3 linked regions of the Macaca mulatta genome follow. The protein of the gene in region 1 purifies or fractionates together with the protein of each later gene. This does not show direct contact. Links are inferred from orthologs where the notes say so. Each region holds a gene or a part of one and is shown on either strand. Other genes may lie near its edges.

Evidence for each region. The genes of interacting proteins can lie anywhere in the genome.
Region 2: the proteins of CCDC6 (region 1) and PPP2R1A purify together in Homo sapiens (affinity purification with mass spectrometry; 5 studies listed by BioGRID and IntAct, with this or other methods). This does not show direct contact. The link is inferred for Macaca mulatta from reciprocal best matches to the Homo sapiens genes CCDC6 and PPP2R1A.
Region 3: the proteins of CCDC6 (region 1) and PPP4R2 purify together in Homo sapiens (co-immunoprecipitation; 3 studies listed by BioGRID and IntAct, counting the BioPlex papers as one, with this or other methods). This does not show direct contact. The link is inferred for Macaca mulatta from reciprocal best matches to the Homo sapiens genes CCDC6 and PPP4R2.

The regions. Positions count from the first base shown.
Region 1 is NC_133414.1:90,019,813-90,024,933, forward strand, and holds part of CCDC6 (coiled-coil domain-containing protein 6), read left to right. Parts: intron 1-1,609; coding exon 1,610-1,766; intron 1,767-4,484; coding exon 4,485-4,585; intron 4,586-5,121.
Region 2 is NC_133424.1:64,419,660-64,424,736, forward strand, and holds the end of PPP2R1A (serine/threonine-protein phosphatase 2A 65 kDa regulatory subunit A alpha isoform), read left to right. Parts: intron 1-2,872; coding exon 2,873-2,964; intron 2,965-3,132; coding exon 3,133-3,149; 3' UTR 3,150-3,590; downstream 3,591-5,077. UniProt on the Homo sapiens protein: The PR65 subunit of protein phosphatase 2A serves as a scaffolding molecule to coordinate the assembly of the catalytic subunit and a variable regulatory B subunit.
Region 3 is NC_133407.1:136,534,714-136,539,834, reverse strand, and holds part of PPP4R2 (serine/threonine-protein phosphatase 4 regulatory subunit 2), read right to left. Parts: intron 3,720-5,121; exon of another isoform or gene 3,676-3,719; coding exon of another isoform or gene 3,599-3,675; intron 1,092-3,598; coding exon 921-1,091; intron 1-920. UniProt on the Homo sapiens protein: Regulatory subunit of serine/threonine-protein phosphatase 4 (PP4). May regulate the activity of PPP4C at centrosomal microtubule organizing centers.

The DNA.
Region 1 (5,121 bases):
CTTCCTTCTTCCCTAAATTTGGACCGAACTGACAATATGGAACAGCAGCCTACAGGAAACTCTCTTAGATGTGCTTATGGCCACTCTGAATTTGTAACTGCTTTTCAGAAAAGATAAGTATATGGAGATTTTACTTTTCCCAAGTTCATTGACAAAGACAAGGAAAAGAAATGAAGCAAGAAGATGGGTAGACACCACATTTTGTATTAGATAATTCCGGTTACTTGGTAGCAGATTCTGCGTGAGATAAACCAGAAAGGAATGGGGGCGGCGGGGAGGTTGTCAAAAGAGGAAGGAAGACGTGTTTTTCTTTTTTTGGAAGGTTGCGGAGTATGGCACAGAATCTTGTGAAGAATAACCTCAGAAGGACAAGAGTTTTGATGGCTCCAGGGAACTTAGCTGGAGGAGCTAAAGATGGATCCCCGTAAAGATGTCAGTTCCCCATTTCAGATTCCTGGGAGAGGTGGTCTAAGTGGCTCAGCCTGGGTCCAACATCTAGTCCGGGAGCTAGTCAGCTCTGTCCTGGGAGATGGGTGCTGTAGCAGAGACCTGGATTTGTGGGAGAGCTCCTGAGGAAAGGGTATTTGTCATAAGCAAGATGCCATCCCAAGAGGTGCCAGCTATATACAGGTCTTCACCTGCCCTCTGTCGTAGCATGTGCGTGAGACAGGGTGACAGACAGCCACACACATACCACAAATTAGACTTGGAAATATTAATCTAAAGTTTTCTGGTTTACTATGTCAATGTCTATTCTCATGAAAAGAATGTTAACTGTTATCACATGTGTTCTAGTACAGTGGTTCTTGGTGTGCCACCACCGCTGTGCACAGCGGGGATGCCAGCAGGTGTCACAGGTTCCCCTAGACGGCTCGCTGTGTCTGGAGTTGAGAGGCAGCCAAATTGAGGTCTGCCCGTGGGCAGAATCTGGGCCTCCCTCCTTTCCCAGCTCCAGCAATGTAGAGAAGAGCTCTGGTAGTGGCTACTTGTAGACTCAGCTACAATTCCACCATTTCCTCGTCTACTTAAAGCACTTTAGAAAGCAAATGAGGGGGACTGACAATGCCTAACCTGCCAACACTGCCTTTTATATTTTTTTCTAAATGCAAATCATTGGTAAACTTTTATACTTGAGATAAACTTTAAATCCATATCTCATCTATGTGCAAGAGAATGAGAAAGACCATCTTTTTTGTTTCTTTGTTTTTTGAGACAGAGTCTTGCTATATTGCCCAGGCTGAAGTGCAGTGGCTCAGTATTGGCTCACTGCAACCTCCACCTCCCGAGTTCAAGGAGTTTTCCTGCCTCAGCCTCCCAGTGGGATTACAGGTGCCTGCCACCACGTCCGGCTAATTTTTGTATTTTTAGTTGAGACTGAGTTTCACCATGTTAGCCAGGCTGGTGTCGAACTCCTGACATCAGGCGATCCACCTTCCTCAGCCTCCCCAAGTGCCAGGATTACAAATGTGAACCACCATATCCGACCAGAAAGACCATCTTGTAACAATTCACTCTGTCTGTGGCATAGGGGCTGAACTGAAGTCTCCTTTTTTCAGATTTGGATATGATTGCATGAAACATGGTTTAATTGAAAACTCTGACTTTTCAGATTCAGAGAAAATGGCACAGTATCTGGAGGAGGAACGTCACATGAGGGAAGAGAACTTGAGGCTGCAGAGGAAGCTGCAGAGGGAGATGGAGAGAAGAGAAGCCCTCTGTCGACAGCTCTCCGAGAGTGAGTCCAGCTTAGAAATGGATGACGAAAGGTGTGTGCATGTCCTATGAGCCTTGTTTTTGTTTAAAAAATAAAACCCAGGTTCTACAGGGGTTTTCTTTGGTATCCTGTTAGGTGTATAAGGGGATAGCTTAAATATGTATTTATTGTGCTAATGAATGCCACTGCATTATAACAGATGCTGAGAATGGGATAAAGATTGAACATTTTCCTTAAACACAAGAAGATGAAAAAAATCACCTCTAAAATTATTTGGTGGGGAGAGAAATGGAGACAGCGTTATATTAGAGAAGGAGCAGAGTTTGCCTTTGTTGTTGAATTAGTTTAATCCAGTGTTATATCTGTTTAAAGCATGGGCACATATTAATTCCTGTACTGTACAAGGATAAAGCAAGCTATAGTGCAGCTCGAGGAAAACAGTGCATTTATAGGTTGAAAAGAATCAGCAGGGACACAGGTGGAGGTTGTTGAAATCCCCAGGACTTGTCTTAACACACTTGATAACTTTTGAGCCGTTTTGTAGCCACTTAAAAAAAAAATAAAACTAATGGATTGTATTCATCTGTTCAAACCTAAGCAGTGAATCCCCTCATTGCCCCACTGTGAGTGATCTGGAATGAGAGACCCATCCTTTGGTTAAGTAGCAGAAATGGTCTCAAGTGTTTGTGCCTCATCCAGTTCTCCTCCCTCTTCCTCCTCTCTAAACTTGGGATAAGGTAGTGGTAAGAAAACAAACAAATATAAGCCGGGCGCGGTGGCTCAAGCCTGTAATCCCAGCACTTTGGGAGGCCGAGACGGGCGGATCACGAGGTCAGGAGATCGAGACCATCCTGGCTAACACGGTGAAACCCCGTCTCTACTAAAAAATACAAAAAACTAGCTGGGCGAGGTGGCGGGCGCCTGTAGTCCCAGCTACTTGGGAGGCTGAGGCAGGAGAATGGCGTAAACCCGGGAGGCGGAGCTTGCAGTGAGCTGAGATCCGGCCACTGTACTCCAGCTCGGGTGACAGAGCGAGACTCTGTCTCAAAAAAAAAAAAAAAAAAAAAAAAAAAAGAAAACAAACAAATATAATTGGAAAAAAATGTTTAATCTGTGGAGAAACCCAGAAGTTAGAGAATTACATTTCTGCAAGGAAATTATCTCTTCTGGATCAGGGATGTCCTGGCATTACATGGGCCATATCTTAGTGTGAGAGGTAAGACTGAGTATTCTTGGGGGTCCCTCCAGCAGGACTGGGCATTCGGTGTCTGAAACCAGGGCTACTCATGGCTGTGACAAGTAGTACTGTCTGTTGATGCCAATACAAGCTGTCTGAAACATACAGACAATGTTAGCACATCCGCATTCTGTTTCTGTTATGGAATATATTTAGAGGACTAACAACGCTGTTGATCAGTTTGCTGTGGACAGTGACATTATTGTTTAAAGAAAAATTTAAGATTATCTGTAATGAAAGTCTATATTTTTATAATGAGAAAAAAAGGAAAACAATAACAGGTTATCCTATTTTAAATACCTATGTATATACCTCTTCATTGGGAAATAATAAAAGATTATTCTTTCTCAAAACTTTGCCTTATAAAACTACAGTTCCCTATTCTTTCTAAAATCTATATCCCTTAAGAACTATTTGACTAAAACTGCCAGCTAGAATACTAAATAGCTTATTAACTACCTTCAGATACAGATCATATATAGCATCTGGGACCCAGTTTGGGGTAAGATACACTCTGAGGAAATAATGTCTTCTGACTGCAGTGTCACTAGTGAAGCAGTTTCAGCCTTCCAGATAAATATTTTTTTCCAGAACCGGTATTCATTTCAGAAAGTTTGCCCTACCTTTTGTAGGTCAGATTATCCACAGCTGCCCAATAAATACTTCCCCTACTAGGAACAATGATACTACATTTGGGAGAAGGAAAATGGTCCAGCACTTAAGAGACCACAAGATGCCTCTTGTCTACTAGTGGATGTGTAGAGTACAAGAAGTTCCACCTGTTGCCACTAGGGTGGGTTGCTCGCGCAGGATGGTTTATCAGGAAGTCTCTCAAGCAGAAATTTCTCCTCGTCAGCGCTCCGTGCTCGTTTCACAGAGCGTAAGCTGATGTTCCTGATGATCACACTTCAGCATTTTCGGGTCTGATGTGACTTCTGAATCCAGGAAAAAGGCAGACTCAGCATGGTGTGGCTAAGCATGACCTGCTGTAGGTGTTCAGTACTCAAGTCTCATTAAATCCTAGTGTGTGACTGTCTGTCTGTTAAGCAGGACTTGCTTGTAAACAGTTGATACTCAGTTCACAGGAATAAGTATCTGTAGGCTTTAATTTTATGACATAAATCTCAGAGGGCTTGCTTGGTTTTGAGTTTCAAATAACAATGTAAATGTAGGCACTAACACGTGAATATCTTTGTAACTCTTGGGACAGTGGAGGTGAATTCCAGCATAGCTGTTGTGTGGTGGAGGAAAAACTGGTCCTCTCTGTGGTATGGTGCACCTCTTTCACCTGGCTTCTATCCTGAGCTAAAACATCCTAGATCTCCCAACCGGTACCCCTTGAGTGAGGTTTGTCAAACAGCAGAGTGGTGTCACTCAGGAGTCCATTGTATAATTGCCTTCTAACTATAACATCAATCTAAACATTCAGGATTTTGACCTCAAGGTGTGAACCCCAAACATTTTCTCCTAAAAACTTTCTTAAGGACTATTTAAATACAGGGGGTTTTATCATTTCCTCCTCTCTCCTCTTAGGTATTTTAATGAGATGTCAGCACAAGGATTAAGACCTCGCACTGTGTCCAGCCCGATCCCTTACACGCCTTCTCCGAGTTCAAGCAGGCCTATATCACCTGGTGAGCATATGTCTTTGGCTATTTTGGTGACTGATTCCTGGTACATTGAATAGGCAACTGTGACTATTCTCCCTTCTAGTGGATAAAAACCTTGGAAACAGATGATAATCATGTCTTTTTCAAAAACATCAAAAACTCATCACTCTCAAGGCTAAGAGTCTGAAAATTTTGAGCATAAATGCTATAGTGTCAGCTGGTGGTTCTCTTCTTCTTTTTTTTTTTAATCTAAAAGGAATTTGACTTTAAAACACCTTTTTAAAATGAAGAATGTCTTTGACTCTGATTTTCAGTGCTGATGGGTAGACAAAAAAGCCTTAGGTAGATTTCCAAGATGCATCATAGCACACCTTTTACGGGTTCTTTTACAATATTCCACATACATTAATCTCATTTTTGTCCTCAGAATAATTAATGTAGGCATCATGTTAAAATGAGGAACCAGCAATTCAGAGGGTCACTACTGGTTACACAGCCAGAAAGGGGCAAGGCAGGGCCTGTCTGTTTACAAAGCCTATGTGTTCTTTCTAGCATGAGCT
Region 2 (5,077 bases), on another chromosome or scaffold:
AGTTGGATGATTTATACTACCAGAGACCAAGAGTTACGACACCACAGTAATTAAAATAGATGTGAATACAAGAATATTTAAATCGCCCAATAGGATGGAATCAAGGGCACGGAAACAGTCCCACGTGTGTTTAACAGCAGGCACCTCTGTAGTTCAGTGGAGAAATATATATTTTTTAAAAAACATAGCTGGGTCAATTTGATATCCATGTAGGAATAAAAGAAGCCTCGCCTCTGGCGGGCGCCTGTAGTCCCAGCTACTCGGGAGGCTGAAGCAGGAGAATGGCGTAAACCCGAGAGGCGGAGCTTGCAGTGAGCCGAGATCCGGCCACTGCACTCCAGCCTGGGTGACAGAGCCAGACTCTGTCTCAAAAAAAAAAAAAAAAAAAAAAGAAGCCTCGCCTCAATGCATAAACAAATTAATTTGAGATGACAGACCAGAACCAGAAAGATTTAAAAAATAAAACATCTAGAAGAAAATGTAGGAAAATATCTTCATGAGTTAGCGTAGGCACAGCAAACCAGAGGAATTGATGGGTAAGTTGACCTTCTGTAAAATGTAGCACTATTTCTCAAAAGACAGCATTTTGAGAGTAAAATGCAAGCCCTTGACTGGAGGAAGATGTCTGCAATGTATGTTTCTGAGAAAGGACTCATCCACAATACTTGTCTACAAATCAGGCAGGGCAAGAAAGAGATGGGAAAAAAGACTTGAATGGGCACTTGAAAAAGGATCTCCACATAGCTTGTAAGCATATGACAAGGTGTTCAGCATCATCAGCCTTCAGGAAAGTGCAAATTAAAGCTCAGTGACATATCACTACACACCTCCCAGAACAGCCAATATTAAAAAAGACTCAATGGTGCAAATGTTGAAGACATAGAGCTGGAACTCTCATCCGTTGCACGTGAGGCTGTGTATTTAGGGTTTGATCACTCTGAAAACGGGAGTGGAACTGGAGTGGAATTTGGTGAAGCTTGTTATACAAACACCCTGTGAAACAGCCCTTCCACTCCTGGGTCTCTATCCAGGAGAAATGAGTGCTGTTTCTGTCCGAAGAATGTTCATGGTAGCTTTATTCATAGTAGCCATAAAAACAGAAAAAACCTCCATGTCTGCCCACAGTAGAGCAGATAAATTTTAGTTCATTCATACAGTGGAAAACTATTCAGCAGTGAAAAATCAAATGCCTGCTGTAGGCGGCAACACAGGTGGCTCTCACAGATACCATGTTGAGTGAGGAGCCAAACTCAAGAAAACACACCATTTATGTCAAGTTCAGAAACAGGCAGAATGAAAGAATCGAGATGATGGAAGTAAGAATAGTGGTTATTTGGGGAGAACAGGGAGCTGTCAAGTGAAAGTGGGGGACCCACAAAGCCTGCACTTTTGATTTCTGTCTGAATCTGTTCCAGGACACAACCTCAGCTTTAGTTTCTCTCCGAAGTCCTCCTCCATTTCCCAAAACAATTGACTCGGTGCAGGCGGAGTTCCCTGGGCCCCATAGATGAGAGTGGTTGCCTCCTCTGGGCTCCTGGAGGACCAGGAACTTTCCCTTGGGACCACTTACCACTCCCTTCTTACGTAGCAGTTTGGTCTCTGTCTTGCTCCTGGCCCGGATGCCTCATGGCAAGAAACAAGAGTGATTTAGCTCCGTATTCATTCCATATACATTGTAGGCCTCAGTGAATATGTGTGAAATCAATGAAAGATACCCATTTGTTGGGCCTCAGAGACTTGGGAGTTCTGTGATTCTGTTCTACTTTCCCAGCCTGCTCTGATCTCCCTGTTTGGGGCCCCAGAGAAGTCTGTTGTTGTTTGTCATACTTCTGACTTTTAAAGTAATTGGTTGGTTGGTTGGTTGGTTTTTTTGCAGTTTGTTTGGTTTTCCTTTGAGACAGAATCTCGCTCTGTCGCCCAGGCTGGAGTGCAGTGGTGCAATCTCGGCTCACTGCAACGTCTGCCTCCTGGGTTCAGGCAGTTTTTGTGTCTCAGCCTCTTAAGTTGCTGGGATTACAGGTGTGCACCACCATGCTTGGCTAATTTTTGTACTTTCAGTAGAGACGGGGGTTTTGCCATGTTGTCTAGGCTGGTCTTGAACTCCTGGCCTCAAGTGGTCTGCCCACCTTGGCCTCCCAAAGTGCTAGGATTGCAGGCATGAGCCACCGCGCCTGGCCTTGATTTTACTTTTTTTTTTTTTTTTTTTGAGACGGAGTTTCACTCTTGTTGCCCAGGTTGGAATGCAATGACGCAATCTTGGCTCACCACAACCTCCACCTCCCAGGTTCCAGCAATTCTCCTGCCTCAGTCTCCCAAGTAGCTAGGATCACAGGCGTGCACCACCACACCCTACTAATTTTGTATTTTTAGTAGAGACAGGGTTTTTCCATGTTGGCCAGGCTGGTCTCAAACTCCCGACCTCAGATGATCCACCCACCTTGGGCTCCCAAAGTGCTGGGATTACAGATGTGAGCCACCATGCCAGGCCTGATTTTACTTTTAATATACACATAATTATACATATTTATGGGGGTATAGTAGTGTTTTGATAATGTGTGCAAATGTGTAATGATCAAATTAGGATAATTAGCATATCTATCACCTTAAATGTTTACCATTTCTTTGTAATGAGAACATTCAAAATCTTCTCTTATAGCTGTTTTGAAATATGCAAAATATTATTGTTAACTATGGTCACCTTCCTGTGCATTGAGCGGAGATTTCTCATTCCTGTGTATGTCCTGGATTCTTGAGACTCCTCCCACCTTGGGTTTGGTGTATCCATGTCTGTGTATACCCTCTTGCTCAAGAGCCCTGTGCCCACCTGTTGCCCCAGTACGCTCCCTTTCCCTGTCTCCTTTTCGCTTTCCAGCACCCTGCAGAGTGAAGTCAAGCCCATCCTAGAGAAGCTGACCCAGGACCAGGATGTGGACGTCAAATACTTTGCCCAGGAGGCTCTGACTGGTAAGACCTAGAAAGCAGGGAGCCCTAGCAGGAGGGTGGACTTTTGAGGACAGGTGCTAGGCTGTCCTTTGAGAACAAGGTCGCAGCTTCTGGGAGGGGGAGGTACCATGGCATTGTGGGCAGAGAGAGGGCTGTGGTTCTGATTCTTGCCTGTTCCTGTTTTCCTAGTTCTGTCTCTCGCCTGATGCTGGAAGAGGAGCAAACACTGGCCTCTAGTGTCCACCTCCAACCCCCACAAGTCCCTCTTTGGAGAGACACTGGGGGGCCTTTGGCTGTCACTCCCTGTGCATGGTCTGACCCCAGGCCCCTTCCCCCAGTACGGTTCCTCCTCTCCCCAGCCTGGGAAGATGTCTCACTGTCCACTTCCCAGTGGGCTGGGGGAGCACGGGGTTGGACAGGACAGCGACCCTGGGAGAAAGGGGCTACTCTGCCCACGTCGGGGAGAGATGTGAGCATCCCGGGTCACTGGATCCTGCTGCTGTAATGGGAACCCCTCCCCCATTTACTTCTCCACCTCCCGTCCTTCCCCTCATTGGTTTTTTTTGTGTGTGTCAACTGTGCCATTTTTATTTTATTCCTTTTATTTTCCCCCTTTTCACAGAGAAATAAAGGTCTAGAAGTAGTCAGTCCTCTGGCCTTAGTCATCAGCATGGAGGAGGGGACACCACCCCAGAGTCATAACATCTGCCCTTTTCTCTGGAGAAGATCTTGTTACAGGACCCATTATACCCCTATGTCCCAAGAGAATTCTCTGGGGATCCCCCCAGGAGTGCTGCTGGCCTGTGGAGCAGAGGGTCCACGAGGTGCTCTGGCTGCTGTCCTGTAGTGCAGTTCAGTTTCATAGATGTTGGCCGAGTATTTTGGGGGTTAAGAGCAGGTGCCTTGGAACCAGACTACCTGGGTCCAAATTTTGGCTCCTTCAGTTAATAGACGTGTGACTAGGAGTAGCTTGTTAAGTCTTTATGAGCTCAGTTTTGTATTGTGTAAAATGAGAGTGACATTAGTACCTAGATTGCAGGGTGGGTGGCGAGGACCAAGTGAATTAGTACCTGGTAAGTGTGTAACAGTTTCAACATGAGAAGTACACAACATGGGAAGCAGAGTTAGCTGTACATTGCCAGAGAACCCCCTGTGGGCCATTTCCTGTGTTCTTGAAGAAGACTTGGGCTCTGACCCTGTCCCCAGGAGGTCTATCAGGATTGTACTAGAGAGAGAACTATGGCAAGATAGACCAGTTGTCTCTCAGTATCTATTCTCCCCTTCCTAATATAGAAGCTCTGATTTTTAGCTGGGCACATGACTATATGCATTCCAGGTATTTTCCTAGTGTCTCTTGAGATTAGGTGTGGTACTGTGACCAAATTCTAGTCAAAAAGATGTTGAACAAAAGTGGTATGTGCAGCTTCTAGGAAGTGTTCTTAAGGGTGAAGGCATGATCCCCCACCTTTCCTCCTTCCTGCACTCCTGCACTCTGGAATGTGGACCAGATGGCTAGAGTAGAAGCTGCCACCTTGGGCCAGAAAATGATCTTAGGAGTGAAGGTCAAGGAAGACAGGACAAGATGGGAGGAGCCTGGCTCCCTGAGGCTGTGAAGAGCCACGCCAGTATTGTCACCTGGGAGAATTCAACTGGTTAAGTGCCTGTTCATTTGGGGTTTCATCACTTGAAGGTGACCCGAATTCTAACTGATGCAGGGAGGGGCCTGGAGCACCCTGGAGAAAGGAGCAAGGGACGTAAGGCTGGTGATGTCTGCATGGAAGGGTTTCGCAGAGGACGTGGTGCTTGAGCACATTTTGGCACAGGTGGTGGAAGGGAAATGTGGCTTTGAGTGACAAGGTGATTTCACCAGCTTAGCCCTCATATTACCACATCCCTACTCTGTTAGACTTTATTGTGCCCTAGGAGATGAGGCTGAAGGAGACCAAAAAGCATCTTTAGGAATTACCATTTTTGCCCTGGGCAATAAACTCTTTCCTAGTTGAGAACCACTGCTCTAGAAATGCGAACACACATGTAACTAAGCATGAAAGTCTGACATTAAATCTTGGCTTTCCCTGTGGTTAACGCTGCTGGTCCATTGCAACAAGAGTGCAGTGGACCAGCAGCCTACGCA
Region 3 (5,121 bases), on another chromosome or scaffold:
GGCGACAGCGAGACTCCGTCTCCAAACAAAACAAAACAAAACAAAAAACAAAACCAAAAAAAAGTCCTAAAAACAAAGAATTTAAAATGACAGAATATGAGACACAGTAACATTTCTTTAAAAATGAGTACTGCTGGGCTCGGTGGCTCATGCCTGTAAACCCAGCACTTTGGGAGGCCGAGGTGGGCGGAACATGAGGTCAGGAAATCGAGACCATCCTGGCTAACATGGTGAAACCCCATCTCTACTAAAAATACAAAAAATTAGCCGGGTGTGGTGGCAGTTACTCAGAAAGCTGAGGCAGGAAAACTGCTTGAACCCGGGAGACAGAGGTTGCAGTGAGCCAAGATCGCGCCACTGCATTCCAGTCTAGGCGACAGAGCGAGACACTTGTCTCAAAAACAAAACAAAACGAACAAAGGGAGTTTTACTTTTGTACAGAATATCTTTTTGGTGTTTTTAATGTTTTACAAGGGCCCAAAAATGGTTACTTGTAACTAACAAGCAAGAGGTTACTTGGGAGAGAAATGAGGATCCAAAAGTCTAAACAAAAACTCACTACAATACTTTCATAAATTAGTACTTCATTTTAAAAGAAATGTGATTTCTCAATGATATAAAGGTTCTGTATAAAGTATGAAGACATAACACCAAATATAAAACAGGAAAGAAAAACCATTAAAATGTTTCCTGATAAATGAATGTTTCCATTGATACCTATAAAAAGGTGGTTCAAGTTTTTTAAAAGGCTGTAAATATTTTAAATAGTTGTAAGCTAAAACTCATCAAGTACATGTCACTAGAAACAAATAATTTATTCTAATGGATAATCAATCATCAACCAGACACATCAAAACTAAAAGAAAAATCTATAATCTTCTGCTAAAAGTTAAATCTTTAAAACAGTATTAAGTGCATACCCATTAAATCCAGTGACAATTTTCAGTATTCTTTCCTTCATTTCATCAAAGGGAATATATTCGACATTAGGGTTGGGAGGACCTCTTGGCTCAGGAGCTGAAGTTCTGAAATCATCCATCACTTTCTCCAGTTTGAAAATAAAATAGCCTTTAAATTGGGACCACTGAATCCTATAAGCAAAAAATTAAAAAATACGTAATACCATGAGTTTTACAATTCTTGAACACAAAACACAAATACAGAATATACTATGACACTAACACTAACAGAATATGTGAATAATTAGTAATGAGAATACCGTCATTCAGGAGCATGCATAAAAGATATAAAAATTACTAATTTCATTAAATCCCAACCCCTGAATACATCTTTTAAATATTCTGTGTAACAAAAATGAGAAATATACATTAAAAAATTATGCTGCATATCAAAGAGGTATGGCATTCTCAAAGAACAATACCTTTAGACTGTTACCAGCTGAACTAGCTATTTTTCATAAAACAGCATTTTTACCTGAAAGGTCTGCCACACAAATAAAGCTTATTTACATTAGCAGACTGGGTGTGATGGCTCACACCTGTAATCTCAGCAGGTGGATCACTTGAGGTCAGGAGTTCGAGATCAGCCTGGCCAACAGGGTGAAACCCTGTCTTTACTAAAAATACAAAAATCAGCCAGGTATGGTGGTGCATGCCTGTAATCCCAGCTACACAGGAGGCTGAGGCAAGGAGAATCGCTTGAACTGAGGAGGTGGAGGTTGTAGTGAGCTGAGGATCGCACTACTGCACTCCAGCCTGGGCGATGAGCAAGACTCCATTTCAGAAAAAAAAAAAAAAAGGAGAATGTGGTAGGCATTTTCTCAAAAATAAATAAAGTGAACCTGTCACTGTAAGATAAATAACTGATAATATTTGTTACTAATGATAAAAATTTGAACTTCTAAGCAAAAAACTGAAAGTCTGGAAAATTTTTATTCTTCACTGAGAGCTCGAAAACTTCCTGATATATTCCCAAAATATTCTGAAGGCAACCAGTGTCCACGTAAAAATATTATATGGGGCCAGGTGTGGTGGCTCATGCCTGTAATCCCAGCACTTTAGGAAGCTGAGACAGAAAGATCACTTGGGCCCAGGAACTTCTATAGAAGCCAGCCTGGGCAAACAGCAATATCCCATCTCTACAAAATAATTAATTACTAATTAATTTAAATTAGGCATGGTGATATGCACCTCTAGTCCCAGCTACTCAGGAGGCTGAGGCAACAGGATTGCTTGAGCCCAGGACGTGGAGGCTGCAGTAAGCCAAGATCACACCACTGCACTCCAGCCTGAGCGACAGACCAAGACCCTGTCTCTTAAATAAAGATACTGTGTGATACCAAAAGCACAAGCAACAAAATAGATAAACTGAATTATATCTGTGCATCAGCCAGGCGCAGTGGCTCACGCTTGTAATCCCAGCACTTTGGGAGGCCAAGGCGGGTGAATCACAAGGTCAGGAGATCGAGACCACCCTGGCTAACATGGTGAAACCCCGTCTCTACTAAATATACCAAAAATTAGCCAGGCGTGGTGGCGGGCACCTGTAGTCCCAGCTACTCAGGAGGCTGAGGCAGGAGAATGGCATGAACCCGGGAGGCGGAGCTCGCAGTGAGCTGAGATCACGCAACTGCACTCCAGACTGGGTGACAGAGCGAGACTCTGTCTCAAAAAAATAATAATAATAATTGTGCATCAAAGGATACTATCGACAGAGTAAAAAGTCAAATCGTGAAATGGGAGAAAATATTCGCAAATCTTTTATCTGATAAGGAGTTAATATCCAGAATATATAAAGAACTCCTACAACTCAACAAAAAAGAAAACCCAATTTAAAAATGGGCAAAGTACTTAAATACGTACTTCTCCAAAGAAGATATACAAATGGTCAGCAAACACACAAGATGCTGCTTAACACCATTAATCTTGGGGAAATGTAAATCCAAATCACAATGAGATACCACTTTATACCCATTAGGGTTGGCTATTATCCAAAAAACAAGTGAACAAGTATTGGCTGGCCAAGGATGTAGAGAAACTGAAACTTTTTTTTTTTTTTTTGAGACAAGAGTCTCACTCTGTTGCCAGGGCTGGAGTGTAGTGGTGCAATCTCGGCTCACTGCAACCTCTGCCTCCGGGGTTCAAGTAATTCTCCTGCTTCAGCCTCCCAAATAGGTAGGAATACAAGCGCCTGCCACTACGTCCAGCTAATTTTTTTGTTTTTTGTTTTTGTTTTTTTTTTTGAGACGGAGTCTCGCTCTGTCGCCCAGGCTGGAGTCCAGTGGCCCAGGCTGGAGTCCAGTGGCGGGATCCCAGCTCACTGCAAGCTCCGCCTCCTAAGTTTACGCCATTCTCCTGCCGCAGCCTCCCGAGTAGCTGGGACTACAGGCGCCCGCCACCTCGTCCGGCTAGTTTCTTTGTTTTTTTGTTTTTTGTTTTTTTTTTGTATTTTTTAGTAGAGACGGGGTTTCACTGTGTTAGCCGGGATGGTCTCAAACTTCTGACCTCGTGATCCGCCCGTCTCGGCCTCCGAAAGTGCTGGGATTACAGGCTTGAGCCACCGCGCCCGGCCATTTTTTTGTATTTTTAGTAGAGACAAGGTTTCACCATGTTGGCCACACTGGTCTCGAACTCCTGACCTCGTGATCACCCCGCCTCGGCCTCCCGAAGGGCATGAGTCACTGCGCCTGGCCAAGAAACTGAAACTCTTGTGCATGGCTGGTGGGAACGAGGCAGTCACTGTGGAAAGCAGTTTGGTTCCTCAAAAAAAAAAAAAAATTATGAAACCACCCTATGATTCAGGAATCCCATTTCTCAGTAGATCCCCAAAACCCAACAACCCAAATGTGCTATGAGCACATGAATGGATAAGCAAAATGTGAGATACACACACACACACACACACACACACAGTCTTTAATCTGAAATAAATTCCAACGTGGTACGACATGGATGAAGCTTGATGGCATTATGCAAAGTGAAATAAGCCAGACACAAAAAGAACGACTATTGTATGATTCTACTTATACGAGGTATCAAGAATAGTCAAATTTAGAGACAGTCGTCTGACACTGTGGGGAGGAAGGTGCAGGGACTTACTCTCTAATGTGTACAATGTTTCAGTTTGGGTAGATGAAAAGTTCTGCAGATGGATGATCTTGAAGGTAATGTAACATTGTGAGTGTACTTAATGCCAATAAACTGTACACTTAAAATTGTTAAAATGGTAAGGTTTACATTACATATATTTCAATAGGTATTTCACCACAAAGAAGATACACAAATGGCCAATAAGCATATGAAAAGATGCTCAACATTATTATCTATTACAGAAATGCAAATCAAAACCACAAAGAGACACCCATTTCACACCCACTAGGGTGGCTATAATCAAAAAGATGAATAATAAACAAGTGCTGGGTTGATGTGGGGAAACTGGTAATGTCATACATTACTGGTGGGAATGTAAAATGGTGTAGCTGCTTTGGAAAGTACTTGGCAGTTCCTCAGGAAGGTAAATGCAGACTTGTAATCCAACAATTCCATTCTATTAAATGAGTCAATAATGTATTTTACCGCTACTACTTTTTAAAATGGTGAGGATGAAAAGCTATTTGCATGATTACTTTTTTCCTTTCCCTATCCTATTTTAGAAAGGGGAATTTGAGGTTTAACAAGCAGATCTGCACATCACAGAATTTTTGATATGCCTAATAAGAATCCTTCTTAATGTACAATTGCTTTTGGTTCCTAAAATTTATCTTTAAACTTTATAAGACTCCCCACATGCACTTCATAAACATACCAGGGAAAGTTACACTAAAATAGGATTATACTTTTCATTTCTTTAATAATTTTTTGTACTTTTAATAATCACCCACTAATTCATAGTATTTTATGAGTTCAGATTTATATATGCATAGGGTCTTGTGGTGTGTTTTAATCTCATCCTTCCATCAACCATCTGACATGACATCTTTGAGGTCCAAAAAAAGCACATTAATGGGAACAGCCAGACAAGAGGTATGGGACCCCAGGTAATGGAAATTCTGAAGAGATTAAAAGACTCTATGGTACTAACTCATGAGACAGAAATTAAGCCCCATAAATTGACATGAATTATGAACACACTGTAGTCTTAACTTTCAAATAAATCAAGCAC